Linked DNA regions of Caenorhabditis elegans. The protein of the gene in region 3 interacts with the protein of the main gene of each other region in a pairwise test. Each region holds a gene or a part of one and is shown on either strand. Other genes may lie near its edges.

Region 1 (3,757 bases), on a different chromosome or scaffold from region 3:
TCCATGTGATTGAGGTGAGTTTCGGAATTATTCTGTTGTGGAAAGTCATGGGAAAAATTGAAAGAACTGTGCGGGCCTTGTGGAATATTTTCTTCGAAAGTTTGTTGGACATGGTTATGATGATTGTAGTGCTGCTCGATGACCTCAAAAAATAGAAAATTGAATTTAAAAACTTCAATTAAATACAAAACCTGATTATTAACAGGTCCCGTATGAAAATGATAGTTGTGAACATTGATGACTGGAGCCGCAGCTGCTCCATTATAATGATGATGAGATTGTTGGTGATAATGCTGCTGATGATGTTGGTGATGGGCATTTTGGTATTGAGACTGATGATAGTAACCATTTGAACTAGACGGGACTATGCTAGAGTACATCTGGAAGGAGTTGTAGATGAATAACGATAAATTGAAAATCACCAAAAAAGAGTGAGACTCTGAAACGAATTTTCAAAAATTACATTGTAACAGAAGGTCAAATAAAAATTAGCATAGGCAAATACTAATTCATTTTGTGGTTAAAAAAAGATGTAATGCCTGAACCTAATTGTATGCATAGTTCTAAATTTGTAGTGAAAATCTTAACCATAAGCCAAAGTAAGGCAACTTCTACTAGTAGATAGTACAAATATTCCAACACTACAACAACACCATGTAATACCGTTGTGCATACACACACGCACAAATGTGACGTCTTCATTCTCGTTCAATACATTTCAAGTCATAAAAGTCTTGCGTTCTTCTTTGCCTACTGCTTACTTTTCGATATTTGTTGTGAATTTTCAAAGCGAAAGTTGTAGTTCTTGTGAATATGTTTTTACGTCATATCACAAGTGTATATACAAATAGGGGGAATTAGTAGCAAAATTTTTGGATCTTTTTGATATTTAGAGAATTCACACTCAAACCGAAATATTCAAGAGATAAGAAAGTTAAAGGTGGAGTAGCGCCTGTGAGAATTTTGTCTCACTTATATTAAACCAAAGCGACAAAATATCATGATGCAACACTCCTAAAAATTTTAGGTTTCTCATAATTCCAGGTCAAAGTTTTGGCACATTGCCAAAATATTGAAAAATATGAGCCTTTGAGGAAATTCAATGCAGTGTCGCATGTTCCGACCCCTATAATTTTTTAAAACAAATAATTAAAACAAAATGAAAATATAAAAAATGCAAGAAATTTTTTTCCGACTTCTAAAATTATGAGTGGCAAAGAATGAGCACTTGTCAGTTTTTGACAGTAAATAGAAAAATTTCAAAATTTTTTTGAAAGTTTTATTTTGATATTCGGTCATTTTTGACACCATAGGAGTTGTTTTTAGCATTTTCCCCAATGGCGCTGCTCCATTTTTAAGAACTTTCAAGTTCGAAATTCTGGGAACTAACTACTAACTATAAGGCTCTAACTCTCAATGCACTGAACACGTAGGAACTAACTCACTAAAAACAAAATACCTATGTACTCACCACAAAGAACAAAACAATGTTAATGCTAGATTACAATACGTGCCTTCATTAGTAGAGCATCTATCGTGAAACTAAAGAAAAATGACTAATGTTTCCACAAAAATAAACATCCTAAGCGAATATACACACCTCTTCTGGTCTACAAAAAAGTGAGCTCCCCAGGCTCCAAAAAAGGGGTGTGGTGACACCAGACCGGTCACTCCTATGATAACAAACAGAAAACTTGAGCAAACTTTTCTTTCCCCCCAAGAATAGAAAATACAGAAAACTTGAGCATGTGTAGATGGTGGTCATGATATGTTTGATCTAAAGATTACGACACTTTTGGGCATTTCGAAAAAAAATAAACATGTCAAGAAGACGATGGTCAAGCTAGAAGAAAATTATCCAAGAAGGCGCACATATGCCCTGCAAGTGCCATTTTATGATAGCATGTCAAAACTGATAGGCATGGGCAAACAGTAACCAAAAAACGGGGAGGTTTGTTGTTTCTCTGAGAAAGGGGTGGCAGAAAGGTGTGTGCGCGGAAAATGTGTGGAGGGGAGATGGGTGTCATTAATAGAAGAAGGAAGGGAGTTTTTTGGGAAAAGGACATGTGATAAATAATTTTGTTTTCAAAGTTCAGAAATTTTATAGAAAGAACACAAGGCTTTGTAGTGCTCCAAAGTTATGCCGGTTTTGATCAATAGTACAGTACATCACGGGTGGGTGGCAAACGATTTTTCCGGCAAATGGGCAAATTGCCGGCAAATCAGAAATTCTATTTCTATGAAAATTCTATGAAAATTTCAAAAAAAAAAACGGAAAAAAATTCAAAAAGGCACAGTTTTAAGTGTTTCCGTCTTATAAAAAAAATCCCTCTAAACATTTTTGGCAAATCTGATATCCATCAAATTGGCAAACCGGCAACTTGCCGAAAATGAAAATTCCGACAAATAGGCAAACCGGCATTTTGCCTATTTGCCGGATTTGCGGACAGTCAAGTCACAACCAAGATTTGGTTTTAAATCTGAAAATGACGTGCGGGACTAAAAACAGAAGGGAAATGTAGACGCTAGATTGAAAAAAAAAACTATACATATCCACAAACAGTATCACTTACAGTACTCTAAAATGATACCCCAATGCTGTGTTTATCCAAACGTCCCCCCCCTCCCACCTCCAATTTTAGTACCCTCTTCCCTACCGCCTCGCCTTGCTACAGTCGGGAAGTTATGATTTTACGGGTGCGAACAATCCAGTAAGTGGGTGCGGAAGAGGAGGAAGCAGTGATTACTGTTAAAAGTGCCGACTAGGTATGTAAACGTACTTGAGAATATTGTTTGGACGGGCGGTCTCCTTTTTTTCAACTGCGGCGGGACCATATCAGTTTTATGATTGATTAATGTTTGATATATTGAGATAATGGAAAGGTGTGTTCGACTGGTAAAACTCGCAGTATGGTTTTAACTGAGGCAACTCCAGCAACCTAATTCTTTGTAAAAATTGTAACCGTCAGGATTTTGAGTTTTGACAAAAAAAACTAATAAAAATATTAGAAGATCTCGAAGAGAATTCAGATGTGAGTAAACAAGTATGTACATATGTTCTGAAATATATTTATATATACACATATATATTTACATAGACATACAAATTTAGTGGCAATGTATCTTTTTGTCTGACACTCTACATTTTTGCGTGTTTAAAAGTGCAAGATGAGTCGTAAACAATTTTCATTCGATTTTTGGAATCTGGTTTTTAAAATTGAACAGCAAGTAATAGATCGTAAAAGCAACACAAACCAATAAGGACGTTGCAAATTGACCGGAGATTTCTGAAATTTGTTTTTTTTAAATTTAAATTGTTGATGTACTTACTTGCAATAATATGTCACCAGGACCATAATCAAATTTCCAGTAGTCCCAATTACAAAAACTGTACAATAAATAACGAAAAGGATAATTAGAAGAGGTTCCATTTTTTGAGACAACGGAAGTGAGAAAATACAATAACTACAATCTATTATATAGGTATTTTTTATATCCTCTATAATTTGTATTATGAAAATAGGTGAATTCTAAGAATCCCTTAAAAAATATATATAATAACTTTAGTATAATAGTCGTTAAAAATATTTCTAGTTTTCGCAGATAAGTACATAAAAAACAAGACTATCTAAGAATAATCAAAAATCTTTTCCAGAATTATCTTGTTTCTAGATATGATAATCTATTACATATAATAGGACCTCATTAGTCAGCTTATCTTGAAAACGATACAATATACAAAATAACTCCCAACACA
Region 2 (3,757 bases), on a different chromosome or scaffold from region 3:
TCCCTTACGTTTTTCCTGATGATTTTTATCTTGCTTATGTATCTTAAATCGTTAAGAGTAGAGAAAAATGAAACAGCTGTTTTCTTTTTTTTCTTGGAAAAATGCCTGTGTAGATGGAAGAACATGGTGCAATAGAAACAAATTTATGAATTGTTCAAAAATTCGTCATTTTGAAGAAAGTACATCGACAGATGCACAAAATTTCGCAGAGAGTCTTTTATGCTTTAACAGTTCCAGCTGTCGTTTTGATGAATTTTCCATAAAGTACAAAGTTAGGGTGAAGTTTATTTGTGAAACGGGAATGCAATTCGTGAACTCATAAAGATTGTGCATGTTACTGAAACGTCTCTTCGTAATAGAAACCGGGGAAAAGGCATAAGTTGCATCATTAAGAGATGTTAGCTAGGGAAAGATGTGCACGAAGGTGTATTGTTATGTCCGAGTGTACAAGTGGAGGACGAAATATTGGTGATCTAGAATTCCGTTAGTAATTTAGATGCCTTACTAGTTACACAGTTCACGCAATAGCCGGCGAGCGTTAATTGTTGAAGTTATGTGCTATATTATGTGCCATTTTTGGAGATATTAATAATATTCACTCTTATTAGAGTATCCTCCCGTCCTATATATTTCATCTCCCAAGTTGTGTATGCGCAAGCGATGTGCACCAATTTTTAAAGGTGGTTGTAAACCGGCAGACCTCTTTCCAGACGGTGTCTTGTTGTGCGCATTCGCCTCTTCTCCTCCCCTTTGCAGACTGTTCATTTCTCGATCACAGTTGTCTCGTTTTTCATCTCCAACAATTGCGGACCACTGCATTGCCTCCTCTTCTCTCTCAGTCCGCACTTTTTTGGATCGATATTTTGTTTTTCATTGTGCATATCTCTAGTTTGTTGAGTTTTCTCTGTGTGATTCTTTGCAACTCTGTAAACATTATTATCTTACTCTTCTCACTACACGTCATCGCTTCCCAACATCTCGTCACTTCTCCTCACCCAAGAGGTGTCAATTCACACCTTAACATGATGGTGAAGTGAGCTCGAGTGGATAGTACTTCATCTCGAGCCCTCCTTCTGTTGCTTTATCTTACCGTCTCCTCTTCCCTAGTTTTTTCCTGTGAGAAAGGCACGCAACCATGCAACACATTGTGTATGGAATATCTAATTGCAAATTGCGCAAGAATTGCCTAGAACAACGCAATCATTTTCTCGGGGGAGAACGCAGTAATCTTGTTCGCTCAAACTATCTTCGTTTATTTTTGTGCGTGATTGTGGACTTGGCTGATCAATTTTTGCATCCATGATTTCTACCAAAAACTTTTAAAAAAAAAATGCACACATGTGTAGTAGCGGCTTAACATGTGAAGGACTATACTAGGTAGTTATAAATTGTATCACATCTTCTCAACCTAGTTGAATTTGTTGGAAACTTCATAATGCTTTTGGAAATTGTTCTATTCAGATCACTTTTGAATTTTAATTTAAGAAGTTGAACACGTTTCTTACTTTCCGGTACTAAAATATCAATTAAAAGGTAAAATTTTACTCTAAAACCATGTGTGAAGCTCACCTCATGCCACCCGTTTTTTTAATCGAAATGTGCTTGCTTGTCGAGCAATCTCCCAGTGGTGCACTCCTCCTCAGCTCCGCCTATCCTCCTCGTCTCTCCCCATCCTCTCACCCACAGGCAGGCATTCAGCGCAGATTAATACACGATACCAGCCTTCCTTATTGCTAGTTAATAGTTCCCTGCTTTAAAAACTAATTGTTGATTTCTAGATTCTAGCTTTCCATGTTCTCTTCATCAAATTGTTATCACGTTTTTCTCGAACTGCTGTTCTTTTCCTTTGTCAGCAGATTTTCCATTTCTTTCTTTTACCTTTCAGATAATTCTCTTACCAATTCTCTGTCTCTTCCCACTGTGAAAGTTGTCCGTTACTGCATTACTCAATAATTTTAATTTTCAGATGAGTTTCGAAACAAAACCTAACTATCTGTTACTGACAAATCCTGACACACCGCTTTCTGTATGCACATCTCCATACTACAGCCCTTCTGGAAAAACAGCTTCAATTCCATCATCAGAGGCAAGCAAACCAGAAGGAACAAATGGTCAATGGTCACATCTTCCGACTGGAGCTGTAAGTTTTTGTCGTCATCATTTTCATATTTTGTTCTGATTTACAAAGTTAATGCGTAGTTTCAAAATAGAAATCCAGGAATTAAACTGAAAACTAAATCTTCTCAATTTGCAGACGTACGTGACGGATGAATTCTCGTCAGAATTCCAAATCCAAAACGGATCGACAGCAGCTCAAAGTGGTAACGCCAACAACTACGCTGACCCTCTCTCACACCGTCGCTACTTCAATAACGTCAATGGGTACAATCACCATCAGTTCTATGATACGGCGTCACAAGCCAGCGTGAGCTCGCCGGCAACAAGTGGTAAGTTAGGGAGTCTATTTCTATCAAAATCTATCAGTAGGTGGGGCATATCATCAAGTGTGTGGTGACAAGTGGCAGCAACATCTACAGCAACACAGATTTTTTTCCTCACCTAAGAACATGTGTCTGAGAAGTGTTGCAAGTTTCCGAGTTTCTCTCGCCTTTTTTCTTTATTTCTCCCATTTAATTGATAGAAGAATGAGAGCAGAGAAAATGAAAAAGTCTAATAGACTTTGCAATCATTCTTCATCTCTTCCCTCTCTGGATCATATTTAGCTCGATAGGGACCAGATCAGTTGTGCTCTGTTCCACGTATCTTCCTGTATTCTAAGATGGCCTACTTTTGTACAACGAAAGTGAAGGCAAGCGGCTATGACGTGGTTGCGTAATAATCTCCAGGTTTCGTCATTTCTTTGGACGTCCGCTGCCAGACCACAGTGATGTATGGGTACGGTAATAAAAGAATGCCGATGGGTGAAAGAAGAGGAGAAGACGAAGTGTAATAAAGGAGGAGAACGTAGAGAACGGTGAAAGAGTGCGATGTAGGCGTGGTAAAAAGACTGTGAGAGTGAGAGAGACAATGAGAACGCATATGCCACAAATCTTGAAGATGTGGCTAAGAGCTTACTGAGTCGCGGAGAGAACGGGACCAAGGAAAACTAGGTAAATACTATCACGTCATCATTGAGAAGGAAACAAATATGGTGTGCACAGTGTACTTCAATAAATTTCACTGGTATACATAGCATGTTAAATCTGTAATCTGCCAAGTTGAGTTAAATTTGTATATTTCTGATGTGTAAATAAGTTTAGAAAAAGAATAAAACAGAAGAATTCGAAGAATCGAAGAAATGTTGTATGACCATATCACCCACTTGAAAATTGACTCTTCTAAAATTTCTTAGATAATTTTACATTTACAGTAACTTCATCGTTGTCTCCTCCTGATTCCTTATCAAATGGTCATACCACTCAACGTCATCACATTGGGAAGGCGATCTCATTTTGCAAAGTATGCGGAGACAAAGCAAGTGGATACCATTACGGAGTGACGTCATGCGAAGGATGCAAGGTAGGCATGAATGGTCCTAAAATGATCACTAATCACGTGGTTCTATTGAATTTAATGAAACCCTTCTCCACTCATAAATCCCCTTCTTGTTCTATTTACGAAACCTATATTTATGACCGTCTTATTTGATTTTTTGTTTTCCCTTATGTTAGACCAAGAGCGAGAGAATGAGCACTTCCCCAACACAAATTGCGCAATTATTTGGAGACTGTGTATTGCTATGTGCATTAAGGACTCT
Region 3 (3,757 bases):
TATTTTTCGTCTGTCAATCTATTTTTCGTCTGTCAATCTATTTTTCGTCTGTCAATCTATTTTTTCGTCTGTCAATCTATTTTTTCGTCTGTCAATCTATTTTTCGTCTGTCAATCTATTTTTTGTCTGTCAAGTCGTATATTAATTTTTAATTTTTAAAAATTATCAAGATCACCCAATAAAAAATGTGGTTATTTATATGCCTGTAGGTCAGTTTTTTTATTGAACTGGAAGCTTCTGGGAAATAGAACAATTTTGTGATTAAATTCTGAAAGCACTTAAAACTTGAAAAAATCTTTTATTTAAATACTAGTACTGGTACGAACAGTACAGAACAAAAAATAATTATTATTAAAATCTATTAAAGATCCTCCAAAAGATAACTGCATCTAGGTTGATTATCCAAGTCGTCAGCTTCAGTTTGAGCATCTTCTTGATATTTTCCCTGGTCCTCCATCATTTCATTTTGCTTCTTCTGTTCATTCACATTTCTCTCGATCGATTGCACTCGATTCACAATCGGCTTCTGGATACCAAGAGCAAATGTGGCACGAGTCAGAACAAATGCACTATTTTGATTCAAGGATTGAGTCATTGCAGATTGTTTCAGATTGATAGCACCGGCAATTATGTCATCACAGAATTGAGAAATGAAGCCGCTTCGCTTGATTTGAGACCAGAAACTCATTGGATCTGGAATCATTTGGAAGTTTATTTGATAGGTAGAGGCAGTGAAACTCGAAAATATGCAAAAACTCCTTACCATTTTGCAGACAACTGTAAATATCCTGAGCTGGGCTGCACACAGGTCTTTCTGGAGCTGGGGATCTTGTTGAGAAAGCTGGCTGGAAGAACTCTTCAAAAACAAGCTGATCTTCTGATTCAACAAAGTTGATTTCCAGCTTTGCCTTGTTTTTCTTGCCTGCTGGACGCCCACGACCTCTTTTCTTGACTGAAAAAATAGGATTTCCTTAAAATTAAATGCACCATGATTTTTAAAATATTACTTGGCTCTTCACTAATTTGTCCACTACTTTGCTCCGTTGGCTCAGATGCATCATCTCCGGAAGCTAGAACATCTTCGAGGTGACGTTTGTTAACTGGAGCTCTGCCCGTTGAGTTCATGTAGTTGCGACTTTGGCACTGTCCATGACAGATACTCTTGTGATTATAGAAATCGATGGTTTTGTTCTCCAATAGTGTTCTGAAATTTAATGAATTAAAACTGGAACGTTAAGAATTAAACGTGGCTAGCAGTCCCAAGCAAAAGGTTACGATTAAGCCCAAACCTAAGCCTAGCACATAACCTAAAACCGAGGCCTAAGCCTAAGCATACGCCTGAGCCTAAACCAAAGCATACAATTTATTGATCTTTCTGCACTCACCTCAAGCTAACATTCTCCACACGAATACACGCCTTCCAGTCTTTCTGTCGCCCTTTTCCACCAAGTTCCGTAAATTGTTTCGGAGTCAGATACTGTGCTGAAATTCCAGAATAAATTCATTCTCTCACATTATAAAAGCCACCATACATTCATATTCGATGCAAGCCTGACGAATTCCGGGGCACCTGAACAATTTGAGATGCATAATTCCTTTGACATATCCACAGGTAACCGGCACCGTGGTGGCATTTAGAGGTACAATTGGTGTCCAGATATGTTCAGATGGAGTATCCAGGTAAGTATAGCTGAGTTCCGATGCTTGCTGTAATATTTATTTGTTATTTTCGAATTGCTAATTGGAGCCAAAATGGCATTTTTCGTATCTCAGACAGCAATGTAGGTGCATTTGAAGTTTTCAAACTAAATTGAAGATTTTTTTCGAGCCAAAAAAGTATTTCCGAGACTAACAAGACTATTTCAATTTTTGGAAGAATTGTTTCCAAAAAAATTGTCTCAAAATTTCACATCCCAACTCACATCATACATATTCTCCTGAACGCGTCTCCCGTCTATCTCGAAATTTGGATCACTTGGAACCAGCATCTCTTCGTTTTTCATCTCACTGGTTGATCCGAACTCGGGTTGAGTAGAGAATTCGAAATCATCGTCGTCACACATTTTTCAGGTAATCGATGAATAAAGATGGGCGACCCGACGCGACACGATAATTTCTGACACGCAACTAGTTTTCCGCCAGCTTGGATCTGTTGGCTTCTCGCGTGTTTTTGAATATTTTTAAAATAAATTAATGATTTTTTTTTTGAAAAGTTAAGGCATTTCAATGATCAAAAATATCATTTATACTGGAAAAATTGCAGAGAAAAATCCAAAAAGTATTGTGGTATCGTAAGCCTTACTAGGGACAAACAATATGATTATTAAAATAGATGACTGCAGAAAAATTAGTTTCGGAAGAGCATTTTGAACTAGCAAAAAAATGTTTTTCATAAGAGTTTTTTTAAGTTCTTGCGAGGCCCGGTAATTTGCATGGAAGCTTTTTTTTTGAAAAAAAAATCAGCTTCTAAAATTGTTTACCCAACTAAATTCAAAAATTTCCAGATTTTTTTCCAGTACGTTTGTTGTGAAGAATTACACAGAATTCAAAAAAATGCTCTGCAAAATTATTTGAAATGGGATTTTTTCTGAAACATCCGGTGTTAAACATTTTTACTATTTTTCTGTTACACAGGGTAAATCATCCTCCACGCCATCCCATTACAATGAGCACTGTATTTGAGCATATCCACATTCCATTAAAAGTGGTGGGTGACCCGGACTTGTACTTTTACTTTTTGAAACCGCAATTCAATGATCTAAATACCCATGAGAGGCCCGATAATGAAGGTGATTTTATACTTTTTAACGAACAACGATTACCTCATTCGTCATATGACTGGAGCCTGGAGCTAGCTACAATTTTTACATTTAAAATGTTTTTTTTTGTTTTGAAAATTAACTGTTTGCTTGTTTTTTTTCATGTGCAGTGGAGAAACATCTGGAATTAATTTTTAGATATATTTTTATGTTCTAGCTAAGATATGATTTTTTTAATTTTAAAATATTAATGGGTGAATAGGGGAATACCTATTCAATGAATTGCGGCTGTGCATGAAAAATCGCGAAGTGGAAGTTATATATTTTAAAATTTATGAAATTTCCTAAATTTTCAAAATTGTTAATTGAGCAGGCGACATTGATTGTGGGCTCCATCTCGGCATATCCAGGGTACTTACGCAATACTGGCTAGTTTATTGTAATGGTACGGTACAGTAGCGTTACTAAAGCAAGCTCTTCTTGTTTTTTGACTGAAATACTACAGTTAGGATCCACGCCCAAAAAAACTGAAACTCTTTTTTTGCTCATTCCCAGTATCAAAAGTAACAAACTTTAATATGATAGTATCTTATTTTGTTTTTGTTCAAATAGATGGTTGATATCGTAAAAGCGATAGTGGGAATGCTTGTTTTTCAAGTTTTAGTTTCGAATTTGGTTGTTACAAAACTAAGGTATGATAAAGATGTTCTGCTTTACTTTTTTGGCCAAAAAAGTATCAAAAAAAAGTTTGAAACACAGATTCCCACCACTTTCAGCCTGTCTTAGAACAAATTCCATTTTCTCTTGCTGATAAGCTGTCTATGAGAGAGACACTATTTACATTACCTCAATATACTTGCCATAATGTTACTTGGTTTTGAAACTTAATGAATCATAATACGTTTATTGTTGCATTGAGTCCCCCCTTTCAAACAGGCGGTCCCCCCTACCTTATGTGTCCCTCCCCACCAGCCGAACCTCCAATCGTCTACAACTCC

Evidence for each region.
Region 1: the proteins of gmeb-3 (region 3) and klf-2 interact in a two-hybrid assay, tested with the Caenorhabditis elegans proteins (one large-scale study listed by BioGRID).
Region 2: the proteins of gmeb-3 (region 3) and sex-1 interact in a two-hybrid assay, tested with the Caenorhabditis elegans proteins (one large-scale study listed by BioGRID).

Annotation. Positions count from the first base shown.
Region 1 is NC_003283.11:20,683,531-20,687,287, reverse strand, and holds the start of klf-2 (Kruppel-like factor 2), read right to left. Parts: upstream 1,606-3,757; 5' UTR 1,590-1,605; intron 1,559-1,589; 5' UTR 1,472-1,558; intron 381-1,471; coding exon 192-380; intron 144-191; coding exon 1-143. UniProt on the Caenorhabditis elegans protein: Probable transcription factor which regulates lipid metabolism.
Region 2 is NC_003284.9:10,203,631-10,207,387, reverse strand, and holds the start of sex-1 (Steroid hormone receptor family member cnr14), read left to right. Parts: upstream 1-1,966; coding exon 1,967-2,140; intron 2,141-2,254; coding exon 2,255-2,447; intron 2,448-3,370; coding exon 3,371-3,519; intron 3,520-3,757. UniProt on the Caenorhabditis elegans protein: Transcriptional regulator which is involved in the sex determination and X chromosome dosage compensation pathways.
Region 3 is NC_003281.10:3,766,854-3,770,610, reverse strand, and holds gmeb-3 (SAND domain-containing protein), read right to left. Parts: upstream 2,112-3,757; 5' UTR 2,064-2,111; coding exon 1,923-2,063; intron 1,708-1,922; coding exon 1,533-1,707; intron 1,483-1,532; coding exon 1,386-1,482; intron 1,205-1,385; coding exon 1,008-1,204; intron 953-1,007; coding exon 764-952; intron 694-763; coding exon 362-693; 3' UTR 283-361; downstream 1-282.